3 linked regions of the Stegostoma tigrinum genome follow. The protein of the gene in region 2 purifies or fractionates together with the protein of the main gene of each other region. This does not show direct contact. Links are inferred from orthologs where the notes say so. Each region holds a gene or a part of one and is shown on either strand. Other genes may lie near its edges.

Region 1 (6,904 bases), on a different chromosome or scaffold from region 2:
CTGCAATCTCACTCTGGCCATTAGATGGAGCAGTTCCACATGTCCATAAAATGTCTCCATTCATCAACAGCACATTGATCTGACTGCTTCTCAGAATCAGTTTTGGGAAGTATGCAACAAAAGCTGTGAAGACAACTCAAAAGGGAATGACACCAACTTTAGGGAGGGAAATAATTACCTTCCATCAAGTTCTCTGACTGCATCCGAAGCATCTCGCGGATCTTCGAACTCAACAAATGCAAATCCAGGTGGATTCCGGGCAACCCATACACTGCGGAGAGGGCCATAATATCCAAATGATCTCTCAAGCTCTGTCTTATTTCCATTGTTTCCAAGGTTTCCTACGTACACCTTGCAGTCAAGAGGACATGAACCATGATTCATGGCTGGAATACAAGATACAAATTTTAAAAATTTAGTTAACAGATTCTACACATTCTGCCAACCTTGAGTCATTATAGACATTTAAAACCTCGAAAAACAAGCAACACAATGAGCACTTTAAATAATTCAGGAATTAATCTGGAATCCCTCAACATCAGTATAATGGCAATATGGAGGTCATTAAAAGATATGTTTTAAATGGACACCAAACCCCACAGAAAGTCCAGTATCCAGTCACAGCACTTGCATGCAAGTATGAAACTGCTTCACATTTCACATGTCCATTGCACTGCTGACCCCCTTAAAGTCACACAAAGGGTCTAGAGAGAGTAATGCAACGCTTACTATCCCACAGGAGGAATCCTGAAACCACTACAAACCAAGTAATTTCAGACCAATATCTGTGGAAACAGCTGCAAAACTCTACAAAGCAAAACATATGTAATCAAATATTCAGCACAGATATTCTGAGAAGTGAACAAGGAGTTGGGATGAGTTAGCTTAAAATGTTGCTAAAGCAGCTTGCAGACAAAACCAAACAGATCTTGGATACAACAGATCAATATTTCACCTGAACACCTTCAAGTGGCTAGTCTGTCACTGGGACAGCTACAAAATCAAACGCTTCATGAACTAGTGGATCATTAGCTGCCTCCATATTTGGACCAGAGAAATTAAGTCACAATGGCAAAGGTCATGCCTTTGGACAAGGGAATGCCTGTGTATGGGGGGGTGTGTGGTAGAAGGGAATGCCTGTGTATGGGGGGGGGTAGAAAGGGGAAAGGGAATGCCTGTGTATGGGGTGGGGGGTGTGTGGTAGAAGGGAATGCCTGTGTATGGGGTGGGGGGTGTGTGGTAGAAGGGAATGCCTGTGTATGGGGGGGGGGGGGGTGTGGTAGAAGGGAATGCCTGTGTATGGGGGGGGTGTGGTAGAAGGGAATGCCTGTGTATGGGGGGGGGGTGTGGTAGAAGGGAATGCCTGTGTATGGGGGGGGGGGTGTGTGGTAGAAGGGAATGCCTGTGTATGGGGTGGGGGGTGTGTGGTAGAAGGGAATGCCTGTGTATGGGGTGGGGGGATGTGTGGTAGAAGGGAATGCCTATGTATGGGGGGGGGGGTGTGTGTGGTAGAAGGGAATGCCTATGTATGGGGGGGGGGGGTGTGTGGTAGAAGGGAATGCCTGTGTATGGGGGGGGGGGTGTGGTAGAAGGGAATGCCTGTGTATGGGGGGGGGGTGTGTGGTAGAAGGGAATGCCTGTGTATGGGGTGGGGGGTGTGTGGTAGAAGGGAGTGCCTGTGTATGGGGTGGGGGGATGTGTGGTAAAAGGGAATGCCTATGTATGGGGGGGGGGGTGTGTGGTAGAAGGGAATGCCTGTGTATGGGGTGGGGGGATGTGTGGTAGAAGGGAATGCCTATGTATGGGGGGGGGGGGGGTGTGTGTGGTAGAAGGGAATGCCTATGTATGGGGGGGGGGGGTGTGTGGTAGAAGGGAATGCCTGTGTATGGGGTGGGGGGTGTGTGGTAGAAGGGAATGCCTGTGTATGGGGTGGGGGGTGTGTGGTAGAAGGGAATGCCTGTGTATGGGGTGGGGGGATGTGTGGTAGAAGGGAATGCCTATGTATGGGGGGGGGTGTGTGTGGTAGAAGGGAATGCCTATGTATGGGGGGGGGGTGTGTGGTAGAAGGGAATGCCTGTGTATGGGGGGGGGGGTGTGTGGTAGAAGGGAATGCCTATGTATGGGGGGGGTGTGTGTGTGGTAGAAGGGAATGCCTATGTATGGGGGGGGTGTGTGGTAGAAGGGAATGCCTATGTATGGGGGGGGGGGGTGTGGTAGAAGGGAATGCCTATGTATGGGGGTGTGTGTGTGTGTGGTAGAAGGGAATGCCTATGTATGGGGGGGGGGGTGTGTGGTAGAAGGGAATGCCTGTGTATGGGGGGGGGGGTGTGTGGTAGAAGGGAATGCCTGTGTATGGGGGGGGGGGTGTGTGGTAGAAGGGAATGCCTGATTATCGGAGGGGGGGGGGGGAAAGAGAGAAGAGAGATGGTGGTGTGGTGGGTGTTTAGCAAGATCGGGTAGGACACGGCGCTGACGCCGCCGAGCGTCCAGCGATGCCCCGGATCCGGTTGAGTCCGAGTACTGGCCGCCGGGCCGGGGGTCAGGGCCCAGGGACCGCCGCTCTCTTTGTTCTCAGTCTCTGCCGAGAAAATGGCGGCAGAGGCGCCGAGCCCCACCCGAGGACGGCCCCGGGAAGAGGCTGAACTTCCTGACACTTCCCTACCCACACACACACACATATATATATATATATATATATATAATATACACACACGGAGGCAGAGGCTGACCCAGAGCCGCTCTCCGGGCAGCACTCTCACGGCAGGCCCGGGGACAAGAGACCCTGAGGGCCGATCCCCACCGACCCAGCCCACGCCGTGATTCATGCCCGCCTGCCGCCTCCTACCTTACCCCTCCCCCGATTCCCGGCCTGTAACTCACTAGCCCGGCGAGGGGGATGGTGGGGGGTCCCTAATCCTTATCGGTTCCTCCCCGGTCACGGTACCTGCTCGCTCCCTCCAACTCCTCGCGCTCAGACAAAATGGCCGCTGCCTCGCGCCACAACTAACGGAAATAGCTGCAGTCACGTGTGAGCCCCGGCCCCACCCCCGCACCCAAACCCCGGCGTCTGATTGGCGGAGGACCCGCATTCGGCCCGCTCCCTTCCCCCACCATCCCCATGCCAACACAGTCCCGTCCCCTCCGTTCTCCCCCCTCACCATCTCCATCCCATCCCCACTCCCCCCTCACTATCCCCCTCTCACCGTCCCCTCCCCATTCCCCACTCACCATCCCCCTTCACTATCCCATTGCCCTCACTATCCCCTCCACTTTCCCCCTCACCATTTCTTCCCCACCCCCCATTTCTTCCCCACCCCCCCTCACTATCCCCCTCCCACCATCCCCTCCCCATTCCCCCTCACCGTCCCTCCCCATTCCCCACTCACCATCCCCCTTCACTATCCCACCGTCCCTCCTCACTATCCCCTCCCCTATCCCCTCCACTTTCCCCCTCACCATTTCTTCCCCATCCCCCCTCACTATCCCCCTCCCACCATCCCCTCCCCATTCCCCTCTCACCGTCCCCTCCCCATTCCCCACTCACCATCCCCCTTCACTATCCCATTGCCCTCACTATCCCCTCCACATCCCCCTCACTATCCCCTCCACTTTCCCCCTCACCATTTCTTCCCCATCCCCCCTCACTATCCCCCTCCCACCATCCCCTCCCCATGCCCCTCACACCGTCCCCTCCCCATTCCCCTCACTATCCCGTCCACATCCCTCTCCACATTCCCCTCTCACCATCACCCCCTCACCATTCCCTCCTCATTCCCCCCATCATCCCTTCACCATCCCCTCTTCATTAACCCCTCACCATCTCCTTCTCATCTCCCCTCCCCATCACCCTCACCATCTCCCTTCACCACGCCTCCACGTCAGCCGTCCCAATCTCCCCACACTTGTTGCTTATGCAGCATGACATGATGACGATTGAACCACACAAATGCAGTAGCAGTGTTTGTGCAACTGCAAGATGGAGTCCAGTTGCCAAAGTCACCGGTATCTGCAATTCACCCATTGCCAGCAGCTGTTCACTTTGCACCCTGGTCCATGGCACATTACCTAGTGGTAGGGATGTGGGGCATTAGTACCTGCAGTGAGATAATGGGAACTGCAGATGCTGGAGAATCCAAGATAATAAAATGTGAGGCTGGATGAACACAGCAGACCCAGCAGCATCTCGGGAGCACAAAAGCTGACGTTTCGGGCCTAGACCCTTCATCAGAGAGGGGGATGGGGAGAGGGAACTGGAATAAATAGGGAGAGAGGGGGAGGCGGACCGAAGATGGAGAGTAAAGAAGATAGGTGGAGAGGAGAGTATAGGTGGGGAGGTGGGGAGGTAGGGAGGGGATAGGTCAGTCCAGGGAAGACGGACAGGTCAAGGAGGTGGGATGAGGTTAGTAGGTAGGATATGGAGGTGCGGCTTGGGGTGGGAGGAAGGGATGGGTGAGATGAAGAACAGTTAGGGAGGCAGAGACAGGTTGGACTGGTTTTGGGTTACAGTGGGTGGAGGGGAAGAGCTGGGCTGGTTGTGTGGTGCAGTGGGGGGAGGGGACGAACTGGGCTGGTTTAGGGATGCGGTGGGGGAAGGGGAGATTTTGAAGCTGGTGAAGTCCACATTGATACCATTCGGCTGCAGGGTTCCCAAGCAGAATATGAGTTGCTGTTCCTGCAACCTTCGGGTAGCATCATTGTGGCACTGCAGGAGGCCCATGATGGACATGTCATCTAGAGAATGGGAGGGGGAGTGGAAATGGTTTGCGACTGGGAGGTGCAGTTGTTTGTTGCGAACCGAGCGGAGGTGTTCTGCAAAGCGGTCCCCAAGCCTCCGCTCGGTTTCCCCAATGTAGAGGAAGCCACACCGGGTACAGTGGATGCAGTATACCACATTGGCAGATGTGCAGGTGAACCTCTGCTTAATGTGGAATGTCATCTTGGGCCCTGGGATGGGGGTGAGGGAGGAGGTGTGGGGGCAAGTGTAGCATTTCCTGTGGTTGCAGGGGAAGGTGCCGGGTGTGGTGGGGTTGGAGGGCAGTGTGGAGCGAACAAGGGAGTCACGGAGAGAGTGGTCTCTCCGGAAAGCAGACAGGGGTGGGGATGGAAAAATGTCTTGGGTGGTGGGGTCGGATTGTAGATGGTGGAAGTGTCGGAGGATGATGCGTTGTATCCGGAGGTTGGTGGGGTGGTGTGTGAGAACGAGGGGGATCCTCTTTGGGCGGTTGTGGCGGGGGCGGGGTGTGAGGGATGTGTTGCGGGAAATGCGGGAGACGTGGTCAAGGGCGTTCTCGATCACTGTGGGGGGGAGGTTGCGGTCCTTGAAGAACTTGGACATCTGGGATGTGCGGGAGTGGAATGTCTTATCGTGGGAGCAGATGCGACGGAGGCGGAGGAATTGGGAATAGGGGATGGAATTTTTGCAGGAGGGTGGGTGGGAGGAGGTGTATTCTAGGTAGCTGAGGCAGTACCTGCAGCGTTGCATTTGCAGATGCACAGAGATACACAAACAGATGACAGTGACAAGTGAATACACATTTACAAAAGTGAGAACTTATTTACAACGACGTGTCACCCGTGCTACCAATACAACCCTCAATAGGTCTTATTTCTTTCCCTCCCACTACCTGTCAGTGCAGTCCCTGGTTTGGAGGAAGCCTGCTGTATACTGGAGCCCATTGGCTTTGTCAGTTTGGCTGGATGGCCCCAGGGGGCCTCAGCCCAGACATGTTCAGTATGCCCTTTCAAGAGACAACTGCACCCTCTTTGACTTAGACTCCTTTTGGTCTGAAGGTAGCAGGCAAGGTGAAGCAGGAAGACCCCGCTACTTCTGGAGTTCCCTGTTAGAAGACTTCTGAAGGTCAGTATGTGGTTCGTCCTCCATCTAGTCTCTATGAGAGGAAGGGATGACTGGAGTGAGCTCAAAGTTCCTCTTGCCCCTATTGCCTTACTGTTGCTGAAGACCAGTGGCTACGCTGATGGAGTTGCTGGATATGTGGACAGACCAGAACTCTATCAGAGATAGTAGGAATTGCAGATGCTGGAGAATCTAAGTTAACAAGGTGTAGAGCTGGATGAATGCAGCAGGCCAAGCAGCATCAGAGGAACAGAAAAGGTGACGTTTCAGGCCTAGACCCTTCTTCAGAAATAGGTTGAAATGTCAGCCTTCCTGCTCCTCTGATGCTGCTTGGCCTGGAGTGCTCATCCAGCTCTACACCTTGTTATCTCAGATTCACCAGCAGTTCCTACTATCTCTGAGAGTTCAGGTCTGGCCACATATCCAGCAGACTTTGAGACTGCTCTGAGACAATCACATGCCTGAGACAGCAGATTTCTGATGGTGTGGCTGTAGCCCTTCATAGCCCTACAGTGTGGAAACAGGCCCTTCAGCCCAACAAGTCCACATTGACCCTCAGAGCATCCCACCCAGACCCATCCCCCTATAAACCACCTAATATACGCATCCCTGAACACTACAGGCAATTTAGATTGGCCAATCCACCCAGCCTGCACATCTTTGGGCTGTGGGAGGAAACCGGAGCACCCAGAGGAAACCCACGCAGACACGGGGAGAACATGCAAACTCCACACAGACAGTCGCCCGAGACTGGACTCGAATCCGGGTCCCTGGCGCTGTGAGGCAGCAATACTAACCACTGAACCACCGTGCCACCCCTCGTGTCAGGTCACCTGGTGTCTCAGGTAAACATGCATGCTACCCTTGTGCCTGTCTGCTTGTGCATTTGAATGAAGTTTCTGATTATTAACACCATTGGGTCCTCTCTTCTCCTGCCTAATAAGGACCCTACTTGTTTATTCTTCTATATTTTTACTTGTGGACTGAAATGAGAAAGTAACAATGAGTAGGTGGCACAGTGGTTGGCACTGCATCAGGGACCCGGGTTCG
Region 2 (7,136 bases):
AACATGCAGCTCTTGGATTCAACAGCAGTTGGCCACTTAGCCAATGGAGTCCCTTCCTATCATTCATTAGGAAAAGTTTTGCCTCATCTCTGCCCTAAATGAGATACCTGTTGCCTTGAAATTTTGCTTCCTCATTGTACAGACCCCAGTGGGGGTAAACCTCCTCTTAGTATCTGTGTCAGGGCCTCATAATTTTACTTCTCTCGTTAAGATTAAATCTGATTCTTGCAAACTCCAAATGATATACACCCACCTCCTTAACCTTTTCGCCTAAGGTAACCTTTCCATCCCAGTTCAGTTTGGCCCATATAACTCTGAAACTTTCCTAGTAATGTGCTTGTCCAAATGTCTTAAATATTCTAACTGTACACACCTCTACTACTTCCTCTGGCAGTTCATTCCAGAATTGCAATTCAGCACAATCTGTAACCTCATGGCCCGGCATATCCCCAACTCAACCATTACCATCAAGCCAGTGACTCAACCCTGGTTCAATGGACAGTGCAGGAGGGAAGGCCACGAACAGCACCAGGCATACCTGATGATGAGGTGCCAATCTGGTGAAGCCACCAACAGGACTACTTGCACGCCGAACAGAGAAAGCAGCAAGTGACACTCAGAGCTAAGTGATCCCACAAGCAATAGATCAGATCTAAGCTCTACAGTCCTGCCACATCCAGTCGTGAATGGTGGTGGACAATTAAACAACTCTCTGGAGGGGGCCACTCCACAAATATCCCCATCCTCAATGATGGAAGAACCCAGCATATCAGTGCAAAAGATAAGGCTGAAGCTTTTGCAGCAATCTTCAGCCAGAAGTGCCAAGTGGATGATCCAGCTCAGCCTCCTCTGGTCGTCCCCAGCATTACAGATACTAGTCTTCAGCCAATTCGATTCACTCTATGAGATATCAAGAATCGGTTGGAGGCACTGGATACTGCAAAGGCTATGGGCCTTGACAACATACCGACAACAGTACTGACTTGTGCTTCAGAACTTGCCTCTCCTTTAACTGAGCTGTTCTAGTACAGTCACAACAGTCACAAGCTGTTCCAGTACAGTCACAATCCAACAGTGTGGAAAACTGCCAAAGTACGTCCTGTACACAAAAGGTGGGACAAATCCAACACTGCCAATTACCACCCCATCAGTCTACTCTCAATCACCAGTAAAACGATGGAAGGTGTCATTAAGAGTGTTATCAAGCAGCACCTGCTCAGCAACACCCAGTTTGGGTTCCGCTAGGGCCACTCAGGTCCTGATCTCATTACAGCCTTGGTTCAAACACGGTCAAAAGAGCTGAATTCCAGAGGTGAGGTGAAAGTGACAGCCCTTGACACCAAGACCGCATTTGACTGAATGTGGCATCAGGGAGCCCGAGCAAAACTGGAATCAATGGATAACAGGGGGCAAACTCTCTGGTGGTTGGAGTCATACCTGAAATATAGAATATGGTTGTGGTCGTTGAAGGTCAATCATTCTCAGCCCCAGGACATCTGTGTAGGAGTTCCTCAGGATAGTGTCCTCAGTCCAACCATCTTCAGCTGCTTCATCAATGACCTTCCTTCCATCATAAGGTCAGAAGTGGGGATGTTCACCGATGATTGCACAATGATCAGCACCACTCATGATGCCTCAGATACTGAAGCAATCCGTGTTCAAATGCAACAAGATCTGGACAACATCCAGGTTTGGGCTGACAAGTGGTAAGTGACATTCATGCCACACAAATGCCAGACCATGACTATCACCAACAAGAGACAATCTAACCACCAGCCCTTGACATTCAACGGTGTTACCAACACTGAATCCCCCACTATCAACATCTTGGAGGTTATCACTGACCAGAAACTCAACTGGACTCACCACATAAACACGGTGGCTAGAAGAGCAGGCCAGAAGTGGGAATACTGTGGCGAGTAACTCACCACCTGGCTCCTCAAAGACTGTCCACCATCTGCAAACACACAAGTCACGAGTGTGATGGAATACCCCCTCAGTTGCCTGGATGAGTGCAGCCCCAACATCACTCAAGAAGCTTAACACCTTCCAATTTTAAAACTGTTTCCTACACTGCAAAGGTAGTTACACTTCAACAGTATTTAATTACTTCATGGTTGCTGGCTAGATGACTCTTTTGTGATGTAAAGGTGATGCTTACAGCCAACGTTCAATTCTTGTCCCAGCTGAGGTTACTACGAAGGTCCCACCTTCTCACCTGTGCCTCTTGTCTGACTGGGTGGTTACTCTCATGTTAAAACACCACAGGCATTTCTAATGACACAGCAGCCCTACAGTCCAGCTCTACACCTTTTTTCTTAGCCCTACAGTCCATTGGGATTATGGTAATTACTTTATTTACAGCCAGCAAAATGTCATGGACCTTAATTTCTTAGCAAAAGCTTACCACATCTGCGCCCCCCTCCACACTTGTCCTAAGACCATCTGCTGCTGAAACCCTTTAAAATGCCTTGCATTGTCACCTCCAGATTTGACATTCCAGAACGATCTCATATCCTCCAATCTATGTAAAATTGTAACTGTTTACGGTTTTCCAAACGTGCAAAGCCTTGCTTGTTCCAAATCCTTACCGTTGAGGGCGCTGTCCACTTAATGCACGCAACTGATTAGTGGAAGAAGGAGATGGATTTGCGGGCATCCTGGGCCTCTAACAGAAACACTCTGGCTCCAGGAGCGTGAACAGGGTCCACTCCATCAAGGCCAAGGTCTGAAGCCCTGGTTTCAATCACCTCAGCATCGCGCCGCCGCGAGGCTTCCTGCCAGTCTAGGCCGCACTCACCGTACGCGTAGATACCCCGCAGTAAGTCCTCCCGCAAGCCCATCGTGTCGAAGGTAGGGGTGACATCCACCTCCTCGCTTGTCTCAAACTCCACCTTGGAGATATCTTCCTCCTTCAGGATGCGCTTCCTCCCCGAACTTGCCATGATCCGGTCCCTGGTCACACGAATACCGTCAAACACCGGGAGAGTCCGACAACACGCATGCGTGAACGCCGCCAATCTACGTGACCCAGCTCGTGTACGTCAGCGTGATATCGTCACTGGGCGTGTCGTCGATTTGATTGACAGCAGTTCCTGAGGGATTTGGTCCAGATATTTGAAAAGCGTGAGGTCTTAAGTTCCCATGATAGCCACCTTAATTATCCATTTTTGATCCCTTTTTTCCTATCATTGTGCTGACAGACTTTATGCCGTGAAATATAGCATTGGCTTAAACTTGGATTACTCAAACTGAGCATTGGGAAACCCAAAGTATTCTGAATCCCTACCACAGATTCTGCTTCTGTGCAATTGATTCTAACCTTCACCCTAGCCATGATTCAGGTTGAGAAAGAATAGGAACTGCCGACGCTGGAGAATATCAGATAACAATGTGTGGAGCTGGATGAACACAGCAGGCCAGGCAGCATCAGAGGAGCAGGAAAGCTGACATTTCGGTTCTGATGAAGAGTCTAGGCCCGAAACGTCAGCTTTTATGCTGCTTGACCTGCTGTGTTCATCCAGCTTCACACTTTGTTATCTTGTTTTGGGTCTCGACCCTTCTTTGGAAATGGCAGTTAGAGCTGAAGAGGTCGAGGGAGGGTAGGAGGCCTTGGGGTGGTGTCTAGGAGGATGGGGTGTGTTGGAGGTGGGAGAAGGGGTCCGTAGAGGGGGGGATAGACTCACGATTAAAGAAATAAGCACAGAGGTGGTGGAAACACTGTTCAACTTCCAGGCATGAGCAATATTCATTGATGTTTGGATGGAGGGGGATAGAGGTGAGTCCTTTGCTGAGGAATGACCGTTCATCTTCAGTGAGGGGGAGGTCCAGGGGGATGGTGAAAACCCAGCAGGGCTGGGGCTGCTTTTGACTATAGACTTGCTAGCTGTAGGGGCGGTGGGCAGAGCGGCGTCAGCGGTGGATGGAGTGGCATTGGTGTCGGTAGACTGTCCTTGATGTTTGCAATGCTACCGGTTTCTCAAGAAGGGTCCAGAGCTGAAACATCAGCATTCCTGCTCATCTGATGCCGCCTGTCCTGCTGTGTTCACCCAGCTCCACACCTTATTATTTATGATTTAGGTTGAACTGGAATATTCACAGCCTCAGTGTCATGATTGACCATGGCTAAATATCAGACCTTAGATCCTTTCCATTGCTTGTAGAAAGCTTACCACATCTGCGTCCCCCTCCACACTTGTTCTAAGACCAGCTGCTGCTGAAACCCTTTACAATGCCTTGCATTGTCACCTCCAGATTTGACATTCCAGAATGATCTCATATCTTCCAATCTATGTAAAATTGTAACTGTTTACGGTTTTCCAAACGTGCAAAGCCTTGCTTGTTCCAAATCCTTACCATTCTTTGATCTCATTGGCTTCCTGTCTTTAAGGTTTGAAATTTAAAAATTATAATCCTTGTATTAAAATCTTCCATGGCCTCACTCTTCCAATCAATTGGAAATGCTGTACCTCATAAAACTATGCTCAGACTTTGATCCTCTGACTCTAACCTCTGTGAATCTCTCCCCCTCAACTTCTCAAAAACAGCAGCGAGGGTCCTATTTACTGAAAATTGTTAGGAAGGGGAGGTTGAACCTTTCTGATAACTAAAATTGAAAAACAAGCCTCCAATCTGTTACAGCAGGAGTCGCAGTCCCTTTCTAATGATTAAACCCAAAACACCCAGAGAAACTCGCCTCACCTCTCCTAATCTGTTAAACTGTTACGGACCCGGGGAGGTTAAGTGAAAGAAAATTCCTGATAGTCACTTTATAAATAACAAATAACAATTTATTTATTTAACTCTAACAATAACATACTGAACAGTTGCTCCACCCCCAACTTCTAACATTTCACTAATTGAACAAAATTCTACTGAAACACTTCAAATAAACACAAGTCCCACTTATATAAACCCAATTAATAAAACAGTAAATTAAAACTTAATCTCTCCAAGTTCACACAGACTGCATCTTCATAGAATTCCAACAGCATGGAAACAAGCCCTTCAGCCCAACAAGTCCACACTGACACTTGGAGCATCCCACTCAGACCCATCCCCCTATAACCCACCTAAGCTATACATCGCTGAACACTATGGACAATTTAGCATGGCCGATCCACCTAGCCTGCACATCTTTGGACTGTGGGAGGAAACTGGAGCACCCAGAGGAAACCCACACAGACACAGGGAGAACATGCAAACTCCACACAGTCACCCGAGGGTGGAATTGAACCCTGGTGCTGTGAGGCAGTAGTGCGAACCACTCTACCACTGTGCCATGTTATCCATTGTTAATAGTGATCTGAACTTTGTCTTCATACAGCTTTCAGAGCCCACAAAACTGTACCTAATATCTGGGTTAAAGTGATAAGATGAAATGACACGCTATTGAGAATGGAGTGAAGGGTGGATTTGTGTGTCTTCCGGAACACTCTGCCTTCTCCAGCATTTCCTCTTGATTTCAACTCACAAACATCTTTCTTCTGCAGATCTTGCTGTCATAGATGTTTTCTGTGTAATTTCCTAGTTCAGACATCCATTTTAACTCTTAAGTACTGTAAAAAACGTAATCTTTTAAAGGGACAATGCAATACTTTTCCCCATTTTACAATTTTACACACACCAATGTTGTAACAAAATCTCTTCCCAATCATCTCCGCCCATTCATTTCAATTAGGAGATTGGTTGCCCCTTTCCTAATGTCATGACAATTCTAATGTTATAATGTCTTAAGACTGATATTTTGCTTTGCAAAAGTGTTCAATTTACGAATAGGTAGAGGAAGTTGCAGCTTTGGTTTTATGAAGGTTTCAACTCACTCAGAGTTGAAGGAACAAAATAAATTGATGTAAGCTAGGCCTGCACCTGAAGCAAAGATATTTGGATGTGAATGTAGGGGTATGGTTAGAAAATTTGCAGATGACAAAAATTGGTGGTGAAGTGGACAGCAAAGAAGGTTACTTCAGAGTACAATGGGACATTGATCAAATGGGCTGATGGGCTGAAGAGTGGCAGATGGAGTTTAATCTGGATAAATGTGAGGTGTTACTTTTTGTTAGGGCAAATCAGACCATGACTTACACATTTAACGCAAATGTCCTGGGAGAGTTGTCCAACAAAGGGACCTTGGAGTGCAGGTTTATTCTTCCTGAAATTGGATTCCCATGTAGGCAGGGTAGTGAAGAAGGTATTTCATACACTCGTCTTTATTGGTCAGTGCATTGAGTGTAGGAGTTGGGAGGTCATGTTGTGGCTGTGCAGGACATTGGTTATGCCACTTTTGGACTACTATGTTCAATTCAGATTCCCTTGCTTTATGAAAGATGTTGTTAAACTTGAAAGGGTTCACAAAAGATTTATAAGGATGTTGCCAAGGCTGGAGGGTTTGAGCAATAGGGAGAGACTGATTAGGCTGGTGCTGGAGCATCATAGGCTGAGGGGTGACCTTATAGAGATTTATAAAATCATGATGTGCACGGGATAGGGTGAATCGTTAAGGTCTGTTCCTCAGGCTAGAGGGTCCAAAACTAGAGGGCAGGTGTTTAATGTGAGAGGGGAAAGAGTTAAAAGGGACCTAGAGGGCAACTTTTTCACTCAGAGTGTGGTGCGTGTGTGGAATGAACTGCCAGAAGAAGTGGTGAAGACTGGTACAATTACAACATCTAAAAGACATCTGAATGGGTATATGAATAGGAAGGGTTTAGAGGGATATGGGCCAAAAGCTAGCAAATGAGCCAAAATTAATTTAGGATATTTGGTCAGCATGGAAGTGTTGGACCGAAGGATCTGTTTCTGTGCTGTGCACCTCTATGACAATACTAATTTTATTGTGAGGATACAGTGGGAGCTCATGCTCAGTTGAAGAAAGAGTTGGGAGGGGAAAAGAGATTGGAAGATCTGCCTACCTTGGAGTTAGAAGATAAAATTTACAGGAAACTAACTTGGCAAAAGCAATTTAGCTTGGCATCAGGCAGAGAAAGGCAGCTTGTCAAGAACTGTAAAGCAGCTGTTGGACCAAGAGTTGTGCAGAAACTGAGAAAAGACAGGGTGAAAGCAACCTGTATTAGAGCAAATACTGGGGATGCTGGAGATTTGAAATGAAATCAAAGTGCTGGAGAAACAGAACAGGTTAA
Region 3 (7,190 bases), on a different chromosome or scaffold from region 2:
TACCTAAATATCTAGATTAATAGGCTACTGATAATACGATTAGGTCAGCACCTGCCATCATTCCATTACAATCAGTATTCAATTAATTTGACCTGATAGATACAGTTAAAATTAAATAGTTAAGGGACAATGAATTTTTCAGTAAATTTAAATCCAAGGTTTTTAGAAAAGAGTTAAAAATATTTCAGTTGGCCGCACTATTAAGCAAAGAAATAGCAGACATCAGCACTTGATTAGTGAGCAGCCGCTGAGGTGGTTTATTAACACTACTTCAGTGGGTTTAAACTAATTGGTACAAGCGTGGAATATTAGCAAAGCAAAACAAAATGCACAATGAATTGTAAAGACAAAAAAACTCAAATAGGATACAACATGACATGAAATACTGTCAGCGTAAGGGGCATGCTGTAAGTTTTAACATGGATACATGTGAATGTATTAAGTGCACCAAATATGGCTGGTGAGGGGGAGACACAAATAGCCACATGCAAATTATGTTGTGGTGATAATGGATGCCTTGAATGAGTAAGGTAGAGTGAGGGACTAAATATTCCTAGATGCAAGGTACTCTGGAAAAGTGGGGAGCAATACTAATTAAAGAGAAATTAAAGTACTAATGAGAGGGGTTATCCTAGAGGAGTCTTACAGCTATGGAACAGAGGAATATAATTACACTTCTGGATGTACCCTATAGGCAACTAACTAGTGGAAAAGATGTAGAGGAACAAGTCTGCAAGAACATTCATGAATTATAGTGTAGTTACAACAGAAAACTTTAATCCAGTAGCGACTGAACAGTAATAGCATAAAGGGCAGAAAGGGGAAAAGAGTTTCTAATAAAAGCAAAATACTGTGGTTAGTGGAAATCTGTAACATACAGAAAATACTGGAAAAACTCAGGTTTGGCAACATTTGTGTCATTCTAGACTTGAAAATTTAACTTTGTTTATCACCACCGATGCTACCAGATCTGCTGAGTTCCTCCAGCACTCTTGTGCTAGTTGTGAAAGAGTTTCTAAAGTATGCTCATGAGAATGGGAACGAAGTACAAATGGAAGAAAATTGAGACACCTATATAAAACACTGGCTCAGCCTCAAGATCAGCGCATCGCTTTTTAGGAAGGATGTAAAGGCATTAGAGAGTATGCAGAAAAGATTTGGGAGAATAATTTCAGGAATAGGAAAGTTCAGCTCTTGGATAGATTGGAGAAGTTGTGGTTGTTCTTGTTAGAGATAACAAGAGGACATGTGTCAAAAATTGTGTGGTTCAGAGTTGAGAGAATGTATTCCTGTTTGTGGAAGAATCGAGAACCAAAGGACACAGATTTAAGATAAAAACAAGACACTGCAAAATGCTGTAAAATCTGGGAAAAAGACTGTTGTAAATCTCATTGCCCAATATCAAGTCTAGCACAAATCAGGAACGGCATGGAATACTGTCCATTGCCTGTACGCAGTTCCAACAACAGCCAAGAAACTATCGCAGGCCAAACAATCCACCTGATTGGCACCCCAACCACTACTTTCAATAGTCACTTCTTTCAGCACTGACATAGTGGCAGCAATGTGTACCACCTACGAAGTACATCACAGTATTTTACCAAGGATCCCCTGACAGCATCTTCCAAACCTCTATTGCCTACAAGGACAAGGGTAGCTGAAACATGGGAAAATTAACAGCATCAAGTTAATCTGCTACTGTGGATCAAAATTCTGGAACTCCCTTCCTAACACCATTGTGGGTGTCGCTACACTCTTAGGACAGAAATGGTTCAAGATGGTACTTCACCATCACTTTTACCAAGGCAATTCAGGTTAGGTATCCTGCAACATTCACTTTCCATAATGAAAAAAAAACACTGAATTGTGGAAACCCATTTCTAATGTGACTTATAAAATGAAAAGAACTGCAGATGCTGTAAATCAGGAGCAAAAAGTTGCTGGAAAAGCTCAGCAGGTCTGGCAGCATCTGTGGAGGAGAAAACAGAGTTAACGACTTGGGTCCGGTGTTCAAAGAAACCAAAAAACCCCACAAAAGTCTGCAGTGAAACAGATTTTTATTTTTAAGAAAAATCACAAGCTAAAAGGCTATCGAAAAAAACAAGCTTCCTGCTGCATTCAAAATTCTCCACTTAATTTCACATCTATTTTGAAACGATTTGAGAGATTTACGCTTTCTTCTGAATGGGATACGTTTACCAAACTGAGATGTGCGGAGAAAAGAATGCTGTGAACAGGCATAAAATATTGGATGCAAAATTCAGGCATGGCTAAATTATTTGCATAAACCAGTGTGTCCCTTTTTTGTTCTTATATGTGAAAACAAAAATTTGTTCTGAGCGCTGGCAAAATGGGGATCACATCACCCCTCCACGACGTACCCGATGTCCAGTCTAATTTCAGTCAATGAAATTAAACAGTAGGCGACCCATAGCTCCAATTGCACTGGTCCCTAGCCGTAATTCTACGATTAACTGGAAACCCTATTAGCACCGTCACAACACATTACAAAGAAAAACATTCAGAACAAAACAAAGGTTGAAAAACAAAATACTTCCTAGTTTCTGATTTAGAAATTTCCAGTTACCGGCTAAAACTGGACCGAAGGGGAAATCTTGGCCTCACCCTCAATCAGCGTAGACCGCGGGCCCTCAGTCAGTTCACTCAGTGAGAAATGGTTCACATTTGAGACAGACAGAGAGAGCCCGCACCCTTACAGTCAGAATCCGAGCTCCGGACACTTTCAGGCGGCGGCAGCGGCATCATCCAACGTGCACTTTCCCGGAGGTGACATCCCAGGCCCTGACCTGACTCAACCTGCAGGGTCGCCGCTACTACCTTAGCCCCCGCCCACCCCCGTCAGTGCGAACAGTTTTCACCTTCTCGCGATCCACCGGCTTCTCTGGCTCTTTCTTGATCTCCTCCTGGGTGACTCTAGACTCCACCGCCATATTCCCGCCCCGCCGCTCTCTCAACGATGGCGACCGCACCATAGAGAGCGAGCAAGTCCCGAGAGCTGCGCACGCAGCATGCGCATGTCAACAAACTATTTGTGACAACTGCGGCGACCATTTTTGCTCCTGGCAACTGCCCACGGTGACTGGCAGTAGAGCGAAGGAACGTGGCAATGAAATATAAACCGAAAGTCCATCATTTCTTAACGGGGTCCGAACCATCTACTGTCTCTCCCTCAACAACGATAAGGTTCTCCTTGTCCTTACCGTCTCCTCCCTTGTCTGCCTTGCGCAGGGACCGTGCCCTTCGGGATACCTTGGTCTACATTCCTTCTCTGCTGACACCAACCTCCCCAGTAGCCCCACGGCACCTTTCCTTGCAACCACCGAAGCTGCAACACTTATCTCCCAGATAGTAGGAACTGCAGGTGCTGGAGAATTTGAGATAACAAGGTGTAGAACTGGATGAACACAGGAGGCCAAGCAGCATCAGAGGAAACTTCAGCCTTCCTGCTCCTCTGATGATGCTTGGCCTGCTGTGTTCATCCAGTCTACATCTTGTTATCACACTTGACTCCTACCTCCCCAGCATCCAAGGGGCCAAACATACTTTCCAGGGAAGCAGCACTTGCACTTCACTCAATCTAGTCTGCAACATTTGCTGCTCACAATGTGGTCTCCTCTACATTGGGGAAATGAGGCACAGACTGGGTGACTGCTTCACAGAACAACCTATCTTCTTTTCTCTCCATCTTCGGTCCGCCTCCCCCTCTCTCCCTATTTATTCCAGAACCCTCACCCCATCCCCCTCTCTGATGAAGGGTCTAGGCCCGAAACGTCAGCTTTTGTGCTCCTGAGATGCTGCTGGGCCTGCTGTGTTCATCCAGCCTCACATTTTATTATCTTGGATTCTCCAGCCTCTGCAGTTCCCATTATCACTGCTTCACAGAACATCTATGTTCTGCTTGCAAAAATGATCCTGAGCTTCCAGTTGCCTGCCACCTTAACACACCACCCTGTTCCCTGGCCAATATCTCTGTCTTCGGCTTGCTGCAGTGTTCCAGTGAAGTTCAGCACAAGCTGGAAGCATAACACTCCATTTTCTGAAGAAGGGTCCCAGCCTGAAACATCAACTTTCCTGATCCTCTGATGCTGCCTGGCTTGCTGTATTCATCCAGCTCCACACTCTGTTACCCCATTTTCCACTTGGTAACCATGCAGCCCACCCGGCTCAATGTGGAGTTTAGTAATTTTAGAGTTTGGACTCTCCCACGTCCTTGTCCCCACCCCACACTTCAGGCCTTGTTATCACATAGCCTGTCATTTCACACTACCTATTGTCAGCCACTGACAGTCTCCATAAACAGCTAATCACCCTCCTGGCCAGATTGTAATCAACTCCTTTGTCCAACTGTTCTATCTCTTTGGGATCTATACCCAACTACCATTTACTCATCACCCCCTTCCCCCATCCTGTCTTCCGCATATAAACCACCAATTTCCTCGCCTCCATCAGTTCTGAAGAAGGATCACCAGACCCGAAACACTAACTCTGATTTTTCCCCACAGATGCTGCCAGACCTGCTGAGTTTATCGGCAACTTCTGTTTTCGTTTATGATAAATGTCAATGACTGGTCACTTGGTTCACCCCCAGTGAATGCATGATCACCAAGTTTGCAGCTGACAGAAACAAAGGCGGGAATGCAAGTAGTGACAATGATACCGAGGGTCATCAAAGGGAAATAGACAGGTTAAACAAGTGGCTAAAAGCTTAGTTATTGGAATATAGGGCTGGAAAATGTGAGGTTATGCACATTGGCAGGAAGAATAGAAGAGCTGAATAATACTTAAATGTGCAAAGACTGCAGAAAACTGCAGGACAAGGGATTTTGGAAGTCTTGGTACATAAATCACAAAAAAATTAGAAACCAAGTTCAGTGGTTAATGGTGAAAGCAAATGGAATGTTTACCCTTACTTCAAAGGGAGTGGAGTATAAAAATAGTGAGGCCTTTATAAAATTAAACAAGGTACTTGTCAAATCATTGATAATGGGAACTGCAGATGCTGGAGAATCCAAGATAACAAAGTGGGGAGCTGGATGAACACAGCAGGCCAAGCAGCATCTCAGGAGCACAAAAGCTGACGTTTCGGGCCTAGACCAGGCCCAAAATGTCAGCTTTTGTGCTCCTGAGATGCTGCTTGGCCTGCTGTGTTCATCCAGCTCCACACTTTGTTAACTTGTCAAACCATACCTGGAATACTGTGAGCAGTTCTTTTTTCCCCTTAGCTAAAGGAAGATATGCTGGCATTGGAGGCAATCCAGAGAAGATTCACTAGATTGGTCTAGTGTATGGAGGGAACAGCTTTTTCCCAGCTGGTATTAGACTAATGAGTGGACTTTCTAGCCTCAAATAATACGGATCTTGCAACATTGATCTTGCCTGGTGCATGCCCTGTGCAATATAACCTGTATGCCTCTGTCTAAGTCTTTTTGAACGGTGCATTCTTGCTTACTATGATCTGTCTGTACTGCTTGTAAACAAAGCTTTTCACTGTACATCGGTACACATGACATTAAATCATTCAATCAATCAATCAATTGATTTTCTTTATAGAAAATGTGTACTGATTGGAGTTTAGGAGAATGAGAGAAGACCTTATTGAAACATATAAGATTCTTAGTGGGATTGACAGGGTAGATAGAGAAAGGTTGCTTTCCCTTGTGGAAGATTCTACCACCAGAGGGCATAATCTCAGAGTAAAGGGTCACCCATTTAAGATAGACATGGGGAGGAACTTCTATTTAAGGCAGGTGAATCTGTGGAATTCATAGATATCATTGAATCCCTACAGTGTGGAAACAGGTCCTTCGGCCCAACATGTCCACACCGATCCTCAGAGCATCCCACCCAGACCTGTACTCTTATAACCCACCCAATCTACACATCCCTGAGGACTATGGGCATTTAGCATTGCCAATCCACCCACCCTGCACATCTTTGGACTGTGGGAGGAAACCAGAGCACCTGCAGGAAACCCATGTGGATACAGTGAGAATGTGCAAACTCCACACAGACAGTCACCAGAGGATGGCTGTCAAATCTGGGTAATTACGCATATTCAAAGCTGAATTCTAATTATTAAAGGAGTCTAGGGTTGGGGAATAAGACAAGAAAGTGTAGTTGATGATCATCTGATCAGCAATGATCTCCTTGAATAATGGACACAATGGGCTGAATAGCTTATTACTGTTTCTATATCTTATAGCATGCTAATAATTTCCCCACATAAACAAATTAGAATAATCCCAAATTCCTCTCGCTATTTAGAATCCTAATATTCAAATAACTGCCTTAATTACTAGTGCAGATAATTCTTTGGCAAAATTTGACATCATGCAGATATCTGGAAAGTTGTCTGAAAGAAACAAGTTTTAAAGAGCATTTTTAAAAAGGAAAGAACAGTAGAAAAGTTGGGGGTCATGAGAAGTGAGTGGCGGTAGTGTTGCAGTATGGTGTTTGTTAGTTGCAGAAATTCCACATCTTATGTTCCAGGCTGCACTTGAAGACATTGCCTCCAACATTGTAGCAATTAAAACAGGTGGTGTTCAAGAGGCCTGAATTGGAGCAGCACAAGTATCTTGGAGGATTGTAGGGGTTGGAGGAAAGAACACAGGTAGGTCATGGACTGTGGCTGTGTAGGACTCTGAAAACAAGGATGTGAATTTTCAAACTGATGCATTAGTCACCTAGGAGAAAATGTCTGTCAGTGAGAAACGGGTGACAGACAAATGAGACTCACTAACTTCAGACATAGGTAGTTTTGAATAAGTCCAAATTCATAGAGAATGAAATGTTGGAGTCCAGCCAGAAAATCATTAGAACAATTAATTTTACAGGTAACAGGGAATGAATTAAGATTTTAACAGCAAATTAGCTGCAGCAGGGGAAGAAACAGATGATGACTTGAAGATGGAAAAGGCAATATAGTTGATGAAAAGGAGGGCTTGATATCTCAACACAGAGTTTAGTGGGTGCCAAGTTTACAAATATTCTGATTCAGCCTCAGGTAGCGGTTGAAGTTGTTGACTTGCTCGCCGAGCTGGCTTGTTTTTGTTCACAAGTTTTGTCACCATGCTAGGTGACGCCATCAGTGGAGGTTCCGATGAAGTGATGTTATTCTACTCCACTGGGAATTTATACTGTCCCGTCTGTTATGGTGAGTACAGTCATTT

What was found. The genes of interacting proteins can lie anywhere in the genome.
Region 1: the proteins of eif4a3 (region 2) and serine/arginine-rich splicing factor 3 purify together in Homo sapiens (affinity purification with mass spectrometry; 3 studies listed by BioGRID and IntAct, with this or other methods). This does not show direct contact. The link is inferred for Stegostoma tigrinum from reciprocal best matches to the Homo sapiens genes EIF4A3 and SRSF3.
Region 3: the proteins of eif4a3 (region 2) and sap18 fractionate together in Homo sapiens (co-fractionation; 3 studies listed by BioGRID and IntAct, with this or other methods). This does not show direct contact. The link is inferred for Stegostoma tigrinum from reciprocal best matches to the Homo sapiens genes EIF4A3 and SAP18.

Annotation. Positions count from the first base shown.
Region 1 is NC_081374.1:45,876,573-45,883,476, reverse strand, and holds the start of serine/arginine-rich splicing factor 3, read right to left. Parts: upstream 3,014-6,904; 5' UTR 2,945-3,013; exon of another isoform or gene 2,881-2,944; intron 387-2,880; 5' UTR 385-386; coding exon 179-384; intron 1-178. UniProt on the Homo sapiens protein: Splicing factor, which binds the consensus motif 5'-C[ACU][AU]C[ACU][AC]C-3' within pre-mRNA and promotes specific exons inclusion during alternative splicing.
Region 2 is NC_081362.1:20,270,695-20,277,830, reverse strand, and holds the start of eif4a3 (eukaryotic initiation factor 4A-III), read right to left. Parts: upstream 3,023-7,136; 5' UTR 2,946-3,022; coding exon 2,801-2,945; intron 1-2,800. UniProt on the Homo sapiens protein: ATP-dependent RNA helicase. Involved in pre-mRNA splicing as component of the spliceosome. Core component of the splicing-dependent multiprotein exon junction complex (EJC) deposited at splice junctions on mRNAs.
Region 3 is NC_081359.1:73,360,403-73,367,592, reverse strand, and holds the start of sap18 (histone deacetylase complex subunit SAP18), read right to left. Parts: upstream 3,014-7,190; 5' UTR 2,994-3,013; coding exon 2,880-2,993; intron 1-2,879. UniProt on the Homo sapiens protein: Component of the SIN3-repressing complex. Enhances the ability of SIN3-HDAC1-mediated transcriptional repression. When tethered to the promoter, it can direct the formation of a repressive complex to core histone proteins.